Sus scrofa: one gene and its partners. The protein of the gene in region 3 interacts with the protein of the main gene of each other region in a pairwise test. Links are inferred from orthologs where the notes say so. Each region holds a gene or a part of one and is shown on either strand. Other genes may lie near its edges.

Region 1 (4,347 bases), about 36 Mb from region 3:
TGGGCAGAAGACCTGAATAGAAACTTCTCTAAAGGAGACACACAGATGGCCAACAGGCACATGAAACAATGCTCAGCATCACTAATTATTAGGAAAACGCAAATCAAAACTACTCTGAGGTGCCACCTCACACTGTTCAGAATGGCCATAATTAGGAAATCTACAAACAAATGCTGGAGAGGGTGTGGAGAAAGGGGTACCCTCCTACACGTAAATCAGTCCAACCACTGTGGAAAGCAGTAGGGAGGTACCTCAGAAAACCAGATATAGTAGTACGGTATGACCCAGCAATCCCACTCTTGGGCATATATTCAGACAAACTTTCACTGAAAAAGACACACGCACCTGTATGTTCACTGCACCACTATTCACAACAGCCAAGACGTGGAAACAATCTAAATGTCCATCCACAGACAATGGATGAAGAAGACGTAGCACATATGCACAATGGAATACTACTCAGCCATAAAAAAGAACAAAATAATGCTATTTGCAGCAACATGGATGGAACAAGAGACTCTCATACTAAGTGAAGTAAATCAGAAAGAGAAAAACAAATGCCATACATTATCACTTATATCTGGAATCTAATACGTGGCACAAATGAACCTTTCTACAGAAAAGAAACAAACTCATGGACTTGGAGAAGAGACTTGTTGCCAAGGGAGTGGGAGTGGAGAGAGAATGAGATCCTGCCGCACAGCACAGGGAACTATGTCTAGTCACTTGTGCTGGAACATGACGGAGGATAATGTGAGAAAAAGAATGTATATATATATGTACACACACATGTATATATGTTTAACTGGGTCACTTTACTGAAAAGCAGAAATTGACAGAACATTGTAAATCAACTATAATTTTAAAAATTTAAAAAAAAATAAAATCAAAGCTCCTTAACACTCCCCAGATATCTATACATCTGGACACCAGGTTAGAGACCTGACAGGTTTGTACTTAGCACCCCGACAGTAACCAACTTCTCTTGACTGCTATGTTTCAGTACTCTTCTTTTTTATTTTAAGGCCGCACCCTTAGCATATGGAAGTTCCCAGGCTAGGGGTCTTCCCACATTGCCTACGCCACAGCCGCAGCAATGGGGGATCCAAGCCGCGTCTGCGACCCAGACTACAGCTCACAGCAACAACGGACCCTTAACCCACTGAGCGAGGCCAAGGATGGAACCCACATCCTCATGGATCCTGGTCGGGTTCGTTAACTGATGAGCCACAAAGGGACTTCCTCATTACTCTTAAGAGTTCTCTAAATTAGCTATATGATTCCTTCTGTGTCCCTAAATACCCCTCAGTCACACCTGAAAGCAAGGTGCTCCCCCAGCCCCAGCTCCATCCATGACTGATGGAGAGGGCAGGACCAACTTACTTTCTCTTGTCGCTTCTCTTCTTCGTACTCTTTATTGCCTCTGCTCAAGCCTTTCCCTTCCTCTAGCAGCTCCCGAAACAGATCCACAGGGCCAGACCTTGGGGCTCCTGCTTCTGCTGCTTCAAGCGCAGGCAGTGAGTTCTGATGCCTAGCTTTCTTCCGCAGGAATTCCGTGCGGGCCTGGGGGAAAAGAAAGTTACAGGCAGAATATTCAGAACCTAGATGTGATTCAAGGAACAGTGAATCTAGTGCCAACCACAGACGGGGGCTGTAAGGAAGGGAGCAGAGGCACTCGGAGCCAGGAAAGGCACCTGCCCCAGCTTCGAGAAAAGGTGGAGAAATAAGGCAATATCTGGGTTTGCAAGCTACCTTTCAAACAGAAAACCAGAGGGATTCCGAATTTCCAGTGACACAATAAAAACAGCTATTAATGGAGTTCCCTTGTGACGCAGCGGGTTAAGGACCCCGCCTTGTCACTGCAGCAGCTCAAGTCGCTGCTAAGGCTCAGGTTCAGTCCCTGGCCTGGGAACTCCCACATGCGGTGGGCACTGCCAAAAAAAAACAAACAGAAAAACCGCTATGAAGGCAACCAAAACATGTATTAGAACAGGTGATCTGAATTCCAGGTTGGGCTTCGAGTCACTATCCCCGGTTGGTTTGCAATTTCTAGTGATAAATGAGAATTTTAAAAGCCCTAACTATCCCCCAGCCAGTGCTGACCACCAAATTAGCTAAAGGACTGGAAGTGAGGTGTAAATCAAACAGGTGAGGAGTTACAAAGACTGCCTCTGGTGTTTCTGTGTGGCCGGCAGTGCAGGCAAAGGGCTCGCCCGATAAAACTGAATTGCCTTGTTCCACTGTCATTTCGCTGTGGCCTCCTCTCTGAAGGCATCTCACCCCTCTGCAAAATAGAAATGATAGCGCCTCCTCTAAGAATGAACGGTGCTTGAGATATTTTGCAAGTCAAGCGTTCTGCAGCAGGCGCTCACTAAATGGGGACTTTGCGCAGGCAAACTGAAAAGTAGCCCGGGTTTCCTTGAACTACTCAGGGCTTCGTTTTTTCATGAGCTCCTACTATGGCCTCGAGAAGTACAGGAGCGGGGGAAGAGCAAGAGCGGCGAGAGTTCAAGGAGAGCTAATCAAAGCACTAGGAGAAGATACTTCCAAAGCACCCAGCCCCAAATTCCCCACGGTGTGCCCTGCGCCTGCGCGCCGCACCGCTTCCGGTCCCTCCCGAGGAGCCTGCGCGCTCAGCCCCGGAGCCCCGGCCGGGCTCGGTGCTTACCTCTTGCTGAGCGAGAAGCACCCTCCGCTCACGCTCTTTCTCTTCCTCCCGGGCTTGGGCCTCGTCACGCCGCACGCGGGCCACATTGTCCTTGTTCCGGACGTGCCAGCTCTTCTTGGGTAGGATATTCATGGCGCCGTAGCTGTCCGCGAACTGGCAGGCCCGCCTCCTAGCACTTCCGATTGGCAGGAGGATGGCCCCTCCCTGTTGTTTCTGCCTCGGTCACGGATTGGTCCTAGACTACTTGGCACGCCCCCCCGGGTCCGTAGCAAAGGCTGATTGGCTGAGACCCCCACCTCCCATCGCGGAGCATCGCGCGTGCGGTCGCCCAGCGACGGCCTCTCCTGAAGATCCCGAGTCCATCACAAGTGTCCCCGCCCTGACGCTGCCGAACGCAGCCGCTGATTGGCTGACACGCCCACCAGGTGTTCTCGAGGAAATGCCCTCCACACCAACCCTCCCCGGCCAACGCATTTGATTGGCTTCTGTCTCGCTGAAGTCTTGCCCCCGGCTTCCGGACACAAGTTTCAAAAAGCGTTCAGCAGCCTCCGTTGTGTTTATTGATACAAGAAAGGGGTTCACTGGAGAGGCAGCGACCCCCAGGGCTGGAAAGGCATGGGATGTTCTCCAGTTCTTTCATTTTCCAAACGACGCGGCCGAGACCTTCAAAGGATCTGGGGGTGGGTCTCTGTCTGAAAGCGAGACGTCGTCACCCTGAACCAGGCTGGGAAGGTCAAAGAGCTCCGTTGGCCGAGCTCAGTGCCACAGCGCGCTGTGCCAGGAAGACTTTATTCTGTGCCTCCTGGGGTAAAGGGTAAAGAGAGGTGGAGGTGAGACAGATCTCTAGATTCCCCGGGACCCCTTGCCAAGGACCCGGCCTGACTCACCGTCTCTATCTGGCGTTTGAGCTCAGAGATGAGGCGTCCATATGAGTTAGCCAGGGCCACAGTATATGCCATCAGGATGCTAGAGGAGACGGAATGAAAGCCACTCCCCAAACACGCTTAGTGTATCTTCGACGTAAGACTCTTTTAGAAACCAGGGGCCCGGACCTCCTTCAGACTCAAGAAGTCTAGTATCCCAGTTCCCTTCTTCCCGCAGACCCAGAAGTTTGGGCCCCCAGCCCCCTCCGTTCTCGGAAGTAGGACCCCAGATCACACGTTCAAACCCGGATGCAGGAGTCTGGGGCCCTCACCTGGATAACAGCAGAAGGGGCACAGCAAATGCCTGGGTCCCCAGGAAGAAGAGAAAATTCTGGGCAGTCTCGGGGAGGCTTCCGATAGACTTAGGGATCTCGGACCAGATGGACAACTGCCCCCGGAATGGACCACACAGCTTAGAAGGTGGGATCCTGAAGTCAGAGACAGACAGGCAGAGCTCCAGGATGGCCACAAGTCAGAACCTTGGAGGGAAGTGGGAAGAGGGAGGGAAAGAGAGGCAGGTGCCTCTCACACTTACACGAAGATGCCATATAGCACAGGAACGGCGGAGATGGCCAGACCCAGGAGAAGCACCAGGGGGAAAAAGAAATTCACAGTAGAGGCCCGAAATGTGCGGGAGGCCGGGGAGCAGGTGGAGAAGAGGGTGAGCTGGCGCAGGAAGGAGAGAATGTGAGACACAGGCGTCTGAGCCCCAGACTCTCCTCCACCGGGAACCCTGGCCCCCTCTTCTCAGTCAGG
Region 2 (4,032 bases), on a different chromosome or scaffold from region 3:
GTAAGAACCACACGGCTGTTTGCTGTCTGTCCCAGAACGAGAGGTCTCCGGGGCTGAGTTCTGCTCCCGGGAGGTGCGCTCCGCGCTCGGGGCGGTAGCAGCAGCTTCCCTCTGAAAAGCAGCCACCTGCATGGCTTGTTGAAATCATCAGGTTGGGTGCTCCACGGGTGTAAAAAGTGGGAAAGGGGGTTTTAATGCGATGGAGTTGGCGGTGTGGAGTAGGAATTTAGGAGTGAAAAAGAAACAGGCAGCGTGTGACAATCTTAAGTTCCCCTCTGCAGAGCTTGCCGCTGCCTCTGCAAGTGGGTTTCTCTTCGGCTTAGTTTCAAACCCATTCTCTCCTCCACCAACACGCTTCAACATGCTCGAAGTATTCGAGGCTTCATTTCCCAGAAATAAATGAGAAAAATCTAGGAACACTAGATAGATATGAACACTAGGTTGATATGAAATGTTCTAATAGTTTAGACATGCTAAAACCAACAGCTGCAGTGCCGCAGTTTCCCGTGTGTGTGTGTGTGTGTGTGTGTGTGTGTGTGTAGAAGCACACAAAAGAAAAAAAAAATAACCAGGAGAAAGGGATAAAGGGACATGAAGAAAGTGCCAGAAACAGCGACAAAGAATTATAAAACTTTCCTCCATGTATTCCGCATTCATACAGTCTTGGAAAATCATTTGTCTTTCCAATACCCCAAGGCATGGCACTGCCACCATTAACACTGGGGAGGGGGGGAAGGGGGATGATGACCCTTGGTGGGGAAGGGGCGAGTTGGGGGAGGAGAGGAGGGTGCCTCTGAGGTGTAGGGATATGGAAATCTAAGGTGTCAGTAGGGAGTGGGAACCTGTTATTGGGGACACATTCGAATCCGATCAAAGCATAAGTAGGATGGGGTGGGAATAGGAAAAGGAAATGAGTTAGGGGTTACAGCGTCTCACAGAAAACCGAGGGCCTCAGTGAAAAGTGCAAAGAACGAGAGCCGCAGCATCCCCGTGGCCTGTGGCTCGCCCCCGCCTTCCTTTTGCGCAGAATCCTCCCCTTGGCTGCAGCATAGCGCTGCCCCCACCGGCCAGGCGCGCCGTGATCGATCGCAGGCTGCGTCAGAATCCTCCCCGAGTATAAATAGGGGTGGCAGGACCGCGCCGAGCCGCACACAGCCATCCATCCTCCCCTCTCCCTCTCTCCCCTGTTCTCTCTAGGCCCCCATCTCCCCTGCCGGGCAGAGGGGCACCGACCGCCACCATGAGTTCCTTCAGCTACGAGCCGTACTACTCGACCTCCTACAAACGCCGCTATGTGGAGACGCCCCGGGTGCACATCTCCAGCGTGCGCAGCGGCTACAGCACCGCGCGCTCTGCTTACTCCAGCTACTCCGCGCCCGTCTCCTCCTCGCTGTCCGTGCGCCGCAGCTACTCCTCCAGCTCCGGCTCCTTGATGCCCAGTCTCGAGAACCTCGACCTGAGCCAGGTAGCCGCCATCAGCAACGACCTCAAGTCGATCCGCACACAGGAGAAGGCGCAGCTGCAGGACCTCAACGACCGCTTTGCCAGCTTCATCGAGCGCGTGCACGAGTTGGAGCAGCAGAACAAGGTCCTGGAAGCCGAGCTGCTGGTGCTGCGCCAGAAGCACTCCGAGCCGTCCCGCTTCCGGGCGCTGTACGAGCAGGAGATCCGTGACCTGCGCCTGGCGGCGGAAGACGCCACCAACGAGAAGCAGGCGCTCCAGGGCGAGCGCGAGGGGCTGGAGGAGACTCTGCGCAACCTGCAAGCGCGCTACGAAGAGGAGGTGCTGAGCCGCGAGGACGCCGAGGGCCGGCTGATGGAAGCGCGCAAAGGGGCCGACGAGGCGGCTCTCGCCCGCGCCGAGCTCGAAAAGCGCATTGACAGTCTGATGGACGAAATCGCCTTTCTGAAGAAAGTGCACGAAGAGGAGATCGCCGAGCTGCAGGCTCAGATCCAGTACGCGCAGATCTCCGTGGAGATGGATGTGTCCTCCAAGCCCGACCTCTCCGCCGCGCTCAAGGACATCCGCGCCCAGTATGAGAAGCTGGCCGCCAAGAACATGCAGAACGCCGAAGAGTGGTTCAAGAGCCGCTTCACGGTGCTGACCGAGAGCGCCGCCAAGAACACCGATGCGGTGCGCGCAGCCAAGGACGAGGTGTCCGAGAGCCGCCGACTGCTCAAGGCCAAGACCCTGGAGATCGAAGCCTGCCGGGGCATGAACGAAGCGCTGGAGAAGCAGCTGCAGGAGCTGGAGGACAAGCAGAACGCCGACATTAGTGCTATGCAGGTCAGGCACAGGGCAAAGCACAGTGGGGGCGGGAGGGGGCTGCAGAGTCGAGTTAGAATTGGGGTTGGGGGGAGAGTTTAAGGCGAGCCTAGAAAGTGGAGATCAGAGATGAGGCATCTGCATTCAGCTCTTAGGGGGTAGAACTTGGCTCCTGGGAGGCTGTGGGAGGGGGTGGGGGCGCAACTGCAGTCCGCAAAGCTGTGCTTGGTGCAGCCGAATTTCTGTTCTGCATAAACCTGCCCAGGCCTGCAGGGGGTTGGGTGGGGTGGGGAAAGGTTGGAAGCTGGGCGTTGCCTCTGGCCTGCTTCTGCTGTTCTGCGTTCACAAGTGGCTTTACTGCACAGATTGAACCATCTGATTAATAAATACAGCAAAGAGCTCTCATTAGTTCTGAAGGGTAACTGTGACCAGCAGCTTTCTTAGTTTTACCAACCACTTCCTTCCCTTAGCAGGTAGACAGGAATACAGTCAAAATTGTAGCAGGTAATCATGGTCACAGTAAAACATTTATTTTTTAAGGACCTCCAGCTTCAGGGGAGGAGAAAAAATAATATAGAGACATAAAAAATATTTTGGATAAATTTTTAAAATCTCCAATTTAGATACTTTATTCTATGAACAGGTGGATTGCTTATATGTAATCTGGTTAAAGTTAACCAGTCAATGAGAAACAAAGATTTTTAAAAATCAGTTTAGTTCCTTGCAGGCATTTTATGATGATGGTCAGGCTGTATTATTAACAAACCAGAAATTTTTCTTCTATCAGTTTTTTTAAGCTCTCTCTCTCTCTCTTTTTTTTTTTTTTTGGTTTTCAAGATTTACGAAGCTGGATTTTTAGGCAAGAAAAGAAAGGTTTAAAAAGAGAAAAAGTAGTTATTTTAAGGGAGATTTTTATCTAAGTGTGCACCTTATTTTAATTAAACCTAGGCCTTTGCAGCTATGTTATAGTAAAATGAGAGCAGTAGGAATTTATACTTGGATTTCTTTTTTTCTTTGGTCTTCCAACAGGACACAATTAACAAATTAGAAAACGAACTGAGAACCACAAAGAGTGAAATGGCAAGATACCTGAAGGAATACCAAGACCTTCTCAATGTGAAGATGGCTTTGGACATTGAGATTGCAGCTTACAGGTAAAAATGGAGGGATGAAGGTAGCAGCCCTTCAGCCTTAGGAAGGAAATCAGACTTCTTTTACGGTGAATCAGAAACCTTCAAGAATAGTCTTGAAATAATTGGCTTTAAAATAAAAGGCCCTTTTTGGCCTTTTCCAAGAAGAATTTAATCCTGTAATAATAAGACCTGTTCTTAGCTTCCCATTACATTTCAAGTCTAATAGGCAGGGCTATTTTTAGGCCTTTTTTTTTTTTTTTTCTGGTCTCAATCATAACATCCCCAGTTGTTACGTTTTGATAGTCTTCAACCCTGCTCCTGCCTGCCTTTGCCTTTAAGGGTGGCATTGGTGAGAGGGATGAGTGATGGGCTCAGCACACTTCTGGTTTCATGTTTGTTTGTCCCATCTTCCCTCTGCCTCTGCAGGAAACTCTTGGAAGGTGAGGAGACCCGGCTGAGTTTCACCAGCGTGGGAAGCTTAACCACTGGCTACTCTCAGAGCTCCCAGGTCTTTGGCCGATCTGCCTATGGCGGTTTACAGACCAGCTCCTACCTGATGTCCACCCGCTCCTTCCCATCATACTACACCAGCCACGTCCAGGAGGAGCAGATCGAGGTGGAGGAGACCATTGA
Region 3 (3,601 bases):
CACAAAAGCTCCTAAGGGATGCTCCAAGGAGTGGTGCTAGGGGCCATGGGGAAGGGTCACCTCCACTGATCAGCTTGGAGGCAGGTCAGGGACCCCTGCACTAGGTCCCCCCTTGCCCACCCAGCAGTCACCTTTCAGCCGCACCAGCTCATTGTGGCACTTCTTGCGCAGCTGCAGCTCCCGGCGGTACTTGCGCAGCAGCTCCTGGTTGTTGCTGTTGACCTCCTCGATGGCCTGGCCGATCTGGTGGGGGATGCGCAGCACCGTCAGGGGGCCAGCTCAGGGGTTTAGCTCCACCAGCTTCACCTGCCTGATAGGCTGCTCACTGCCTCCCACCCTGGGCTGAGTACTTGACATGTGCTGTCACACAGCACATTTCCCCAATTTCCCAATAACCCCTCGGGTAGGTAGTGCTTCCAAGCCCATTTTACAGAGGAAGAAACTGAGCCCCAGAAAGGCTAAGCCAATCTCAAGGTTGCCCTGCTGATGATGGGCAAAGAGCTGGGACTCAGCCCTCAACCTCACTCCACAGCACCAGCACTCGACTACATGATTCGGCAGGACCCAAATCCCAGCTGTCCCCTCAGGAGCTGGAGGACAGGAAGCAACTGGCTCAATGTCTTCGAGCCTCAATTTTCTCATCTGTCAAATGGGGATAACATCTAACTCATGGGTCTATAGGCGCTGGAAGGTAAAGATCTATCTCCAAGTTACACTTCACAGGGAAAAGAAACAAGATGCCGACCACACGTCCACCTGTACACACATGTATACACATACACACACGTCCACCTGTTCCCCTTTGCTGAGTGAAAAGAAAGTGCATATATACATATACCTATGTCAGTAGTTTTCATCAGGCTCAGAACACCTTTCAGGGAAAATGCTGGGAGACAGGTGTCCTTTGGGGAGCAGGCTGGGTGGCAGAGAAAGGCCTTTCCCCTTTCCGTCTGATACCCTTCTGCGGGGGCTGAACTTTCAACAAGTCCATGTATTACTGACATAATTTTTTAAAGGAGAACTATTTTCAATTCCCAAAATATATCAGTCTCTCTACCCCACAGAGCTGTCATACACATTCAAGGAGCTGATGGCTATAAAAGGCTCAGCACGTAGGAGGCACTTAAGAGACATTGGCTATTCTCATACTGCACAAGAACAGCTTGAGAAAATTAAGTCTAACAGATGTAAGACTATATGTAGCATACTTGAGATATAAAGATATGCATAGCACGTATGGGATATAGAGATACATGTGACAGGTTTGGTTCAAAGAGTCATGACAAGACAAATACCCAAAGACCTATGCCCCAACCAGGTTGCTGTTTTTTTTGTGTTTTGTTTTTTCAATGGCCACGTCTGCAACATATGGAAGTTCCTAGGCCTGGGATTGAATCCCAGCTGCACCTGTGACCTACTGCCACTGTTCTGGGCACCACAGGATCCTTCAACCTTTAACCCACTGTATGCCAGGCAGGGAATGGAACCTGAACCTCCACAGTGACCAGAGCTGATGGATTGGATTGGATGGTTTGATCCTTGCTTTTTTTTTTTTTTTTTTTTTTTTTCTGCTTTTTAGGGCCACACCGGTGCCATATAGAGGTTTCCAGGCTAGGGGTCGAATCTGAGCTACAGTTGCTGGTCTGAGCCACGTATGCAACCTACACCACAACTCACAGCAATGCCAGATCCTTAACCCACTGAGTGAGGCCAGGAATCTAACCAGCATCCTCATAGATCCTAGTTGGATTCATTTCTCCTGAGCCACCACAGGAACTCCTGCAGCTGGATCCTTAACCCACTGAGCCACAGCAGGAACGCCTAGACTGTTTCAAATGGTCTGAGGATGTGCAGAGGGGAGCTACTGCCTGGGGCTTCTCTAAGTTTTGGAAGGGAGCACTGGGTGGATGCTGCGTCCCACCAGGGGCTCCAGAGCCTCTCTCAGCTCCACCACCACAGCCCCCACTCACCTCGGCCTTGACGCTCTTGAGCGCCTCCTGCAGCAGCAGTGGGAAGCCGCGCACCTGGCGCTTCAGTCCATTGTAGTCGTTGGTCAGGGTCCGCAGTGCTGGCTGCAATGTCAGCAGGTTGGTCCGGACACCTATGGGGATACAAGGGGTGTGCGGCAGACAGGGCGAAGGGCCGTGGCGTGGGAATGGCTAAGGTGCCACCGACCGGCTCACCTGCCAGATTCTCGTGCACGGCCTTCATCTCCACCTGGGCTCTGGCAAAGGCCTCCTCGATGGCCCGGTTCTTGTCCTCCTCCAGGGACTGCATCTCCTCCAGCATCTGCCCGTGCGCCCGCTCCAGCTCTGACTCGTACATGGCAATCTGAGGCCAGGGCGGGAAGCTCAGCGCTGCCAGCCCGGGAAGGGAGGAAGCCCCGCCCCTCACACACAGACACGCACACACAGGTGGGGCAGGGTGGCGTCTCACCCAGAAGGGGCTGGGCGCTCCATGCAGCTACTTCCCGACCTAGGCCAGCATCAGCCTGGGTCCCAGCCCGTAACAGATCAGGCCCCCGGACAGTAAGGCAGAGCATTTGTTATATATATTTTTTTAATTATTATTATTATTATTTTTGGCCACCCAGCAGCATATGGGAAGGCCAGGGATCAGATCTGAGCCACAGTTGTGACCTAAGCTGCAGCTGCCACAATGCCGCTACTTAACCCACTGTGCCGGCTGGGGATTGAACCTGTGTCCCAACACTCCCAATACACCACCGAGCCTGTTGAGCCACAGCGGGAACTCCATTTGTTATAAAACTGACTAGAGCACCCTTCTAAGAGTGTGTGCCAGGCCCTAAGCGAATCTTGTGATTAGGTCAAGCCCCACCGGGAGGTGGGTTCCGTGATCAGATCATTTTATAGGTATGGAAACAAAAACCTGCCCTTGGTCACACAGCCAGCAGGGAAAGGAGGGACTGAATCTTGGGTGTGTCGGACCCCAAGTGCTGGGCTGCTGCACTGTGCCAAAGGCCAGCCTGTGGCACTGGGTGGGGCACACACATGCTGCCCAGATAGACCGGTGCCCCCTTGCAAGTGCCACACACCTGTGCCCGGAGCTGTGCAGTCAGCTGATGCGAGCTCTGCAGCTGCTGTTCCATCTCCTTCAGCACCTGCCTCTGCATGGCCACCTGCTCCTGCAGGTGCTGGTTCCGGGCCTGGGACTCATTGAGGGCCTGCTTGGTCTTGGACGACTCCACCTCCACTGTCTTGATGACATACTGTGAGGGGAGGGAGGGACAGGTGCATGGAGGTGAGTGGGTGCCTTGACCTCACCCTGGGCCCCTGAGGGGAAGCTCAGGAACATCTGATCAACAGCCCGCAGAAATAAACTAGAGCAGCCACGAGGTCTTAACTCTCCAGAGTGCTGCAAGGGCCTCCTGGAATCTGCTCACCTTCATGAGCCCACCACAAGCCTGGCTATGGCCCAAGACTGGGCACAGAACAGTCAAGAAGGGCAAAGACAAGGGCAAATCTAATGATGCATGGTGTCCGTGGCTGTCACACAGCAGGCATCTCAAGCATCAGTTGCTGGATGCCTACATGGGCCTGGCCCTGGACCAAAGCAGGAGAAGGCACAAGGCTGACCGCAG

What was found.
Region 1: the proteins of KIFC3 (region 3) and LENG1 interact in binary tests that used the Homo sapiens proteins (3 or more experiments, as listed by UniProt). The two-hybrid records come from large-scale screens. The link is inferred for Sus scrofa from reciprocal best matches to the Homo sapiens genes KIFC3 and LENG1.
Region 2: the proteins of KIFC3 (region 3) and NEFL interact in binary tests that used the Homo sapiens proteins (3 or more experiments, as listed by UniProt). The two-hybrid records come from large-scale screens. The link is inferred for Sus scrofa from reciprocal best matches to the Homo sapiens genes KIFC3 and NEFL.

Annotation. Positions count from the first base shown.
Region 1 is NC_010448.4:55,969,124-55,973,470, reverse strand, and holds the start of LENG1 (leukocyte receptor cluster member 1), read right to left. Parts: upstream 2,887-4,347; 5' UTR 2,801-2,886; coding exon 2,669-2,800; intron 1,564-2,668; coding exon 1,384-1,563; intron 1-1,383. Other genes in the region: TMC4 (transmembrane channel-like protein 4), read right to left, coding at 3,402-3,470, 3,556-3,634, 3,864-4,019, 4,127-4,257.
Region 2 is NC_010456.5:8,994,015-8,998,046, reverse strand, and holds the start of NEFL (neurofilament light polypeptide), read left to right. Parts: upstream 1-1,146; 5' UTR 1,147-1,240; coding exon 1,241-2,287; intron 2,288-3,295; coding exon 3,296-3,420; intron 3,421-3,825; coding exon 3,826-4,032. UniProt on the Homo sapiens protein: Neurofilaments usually contain three intermediate filament proteins: NEFL, NEFM, and NEFH which are involved in the maintenance of neuronal caliber.
Region 3 is NC_010448.4:19,668,595-19,672,195, forward strand, and holds part of KIFC3 (kinesin-like protein KIFC3), read right to left. Parts: intron 3,230-3,601; coding exon 3,056-3,229; intron 2,332-3,055; coding exon 2,184-2,331; intron 2,102-2,183; coding exon 1,971-2,101; intron 244-1,970; coding exon 132-243; intron 1-131. UniProt on the Homo sapiens protein: Minus-end microtubule-dependent motor protein. Involved in apically targeted transport. Required for zonula adherens maintenance.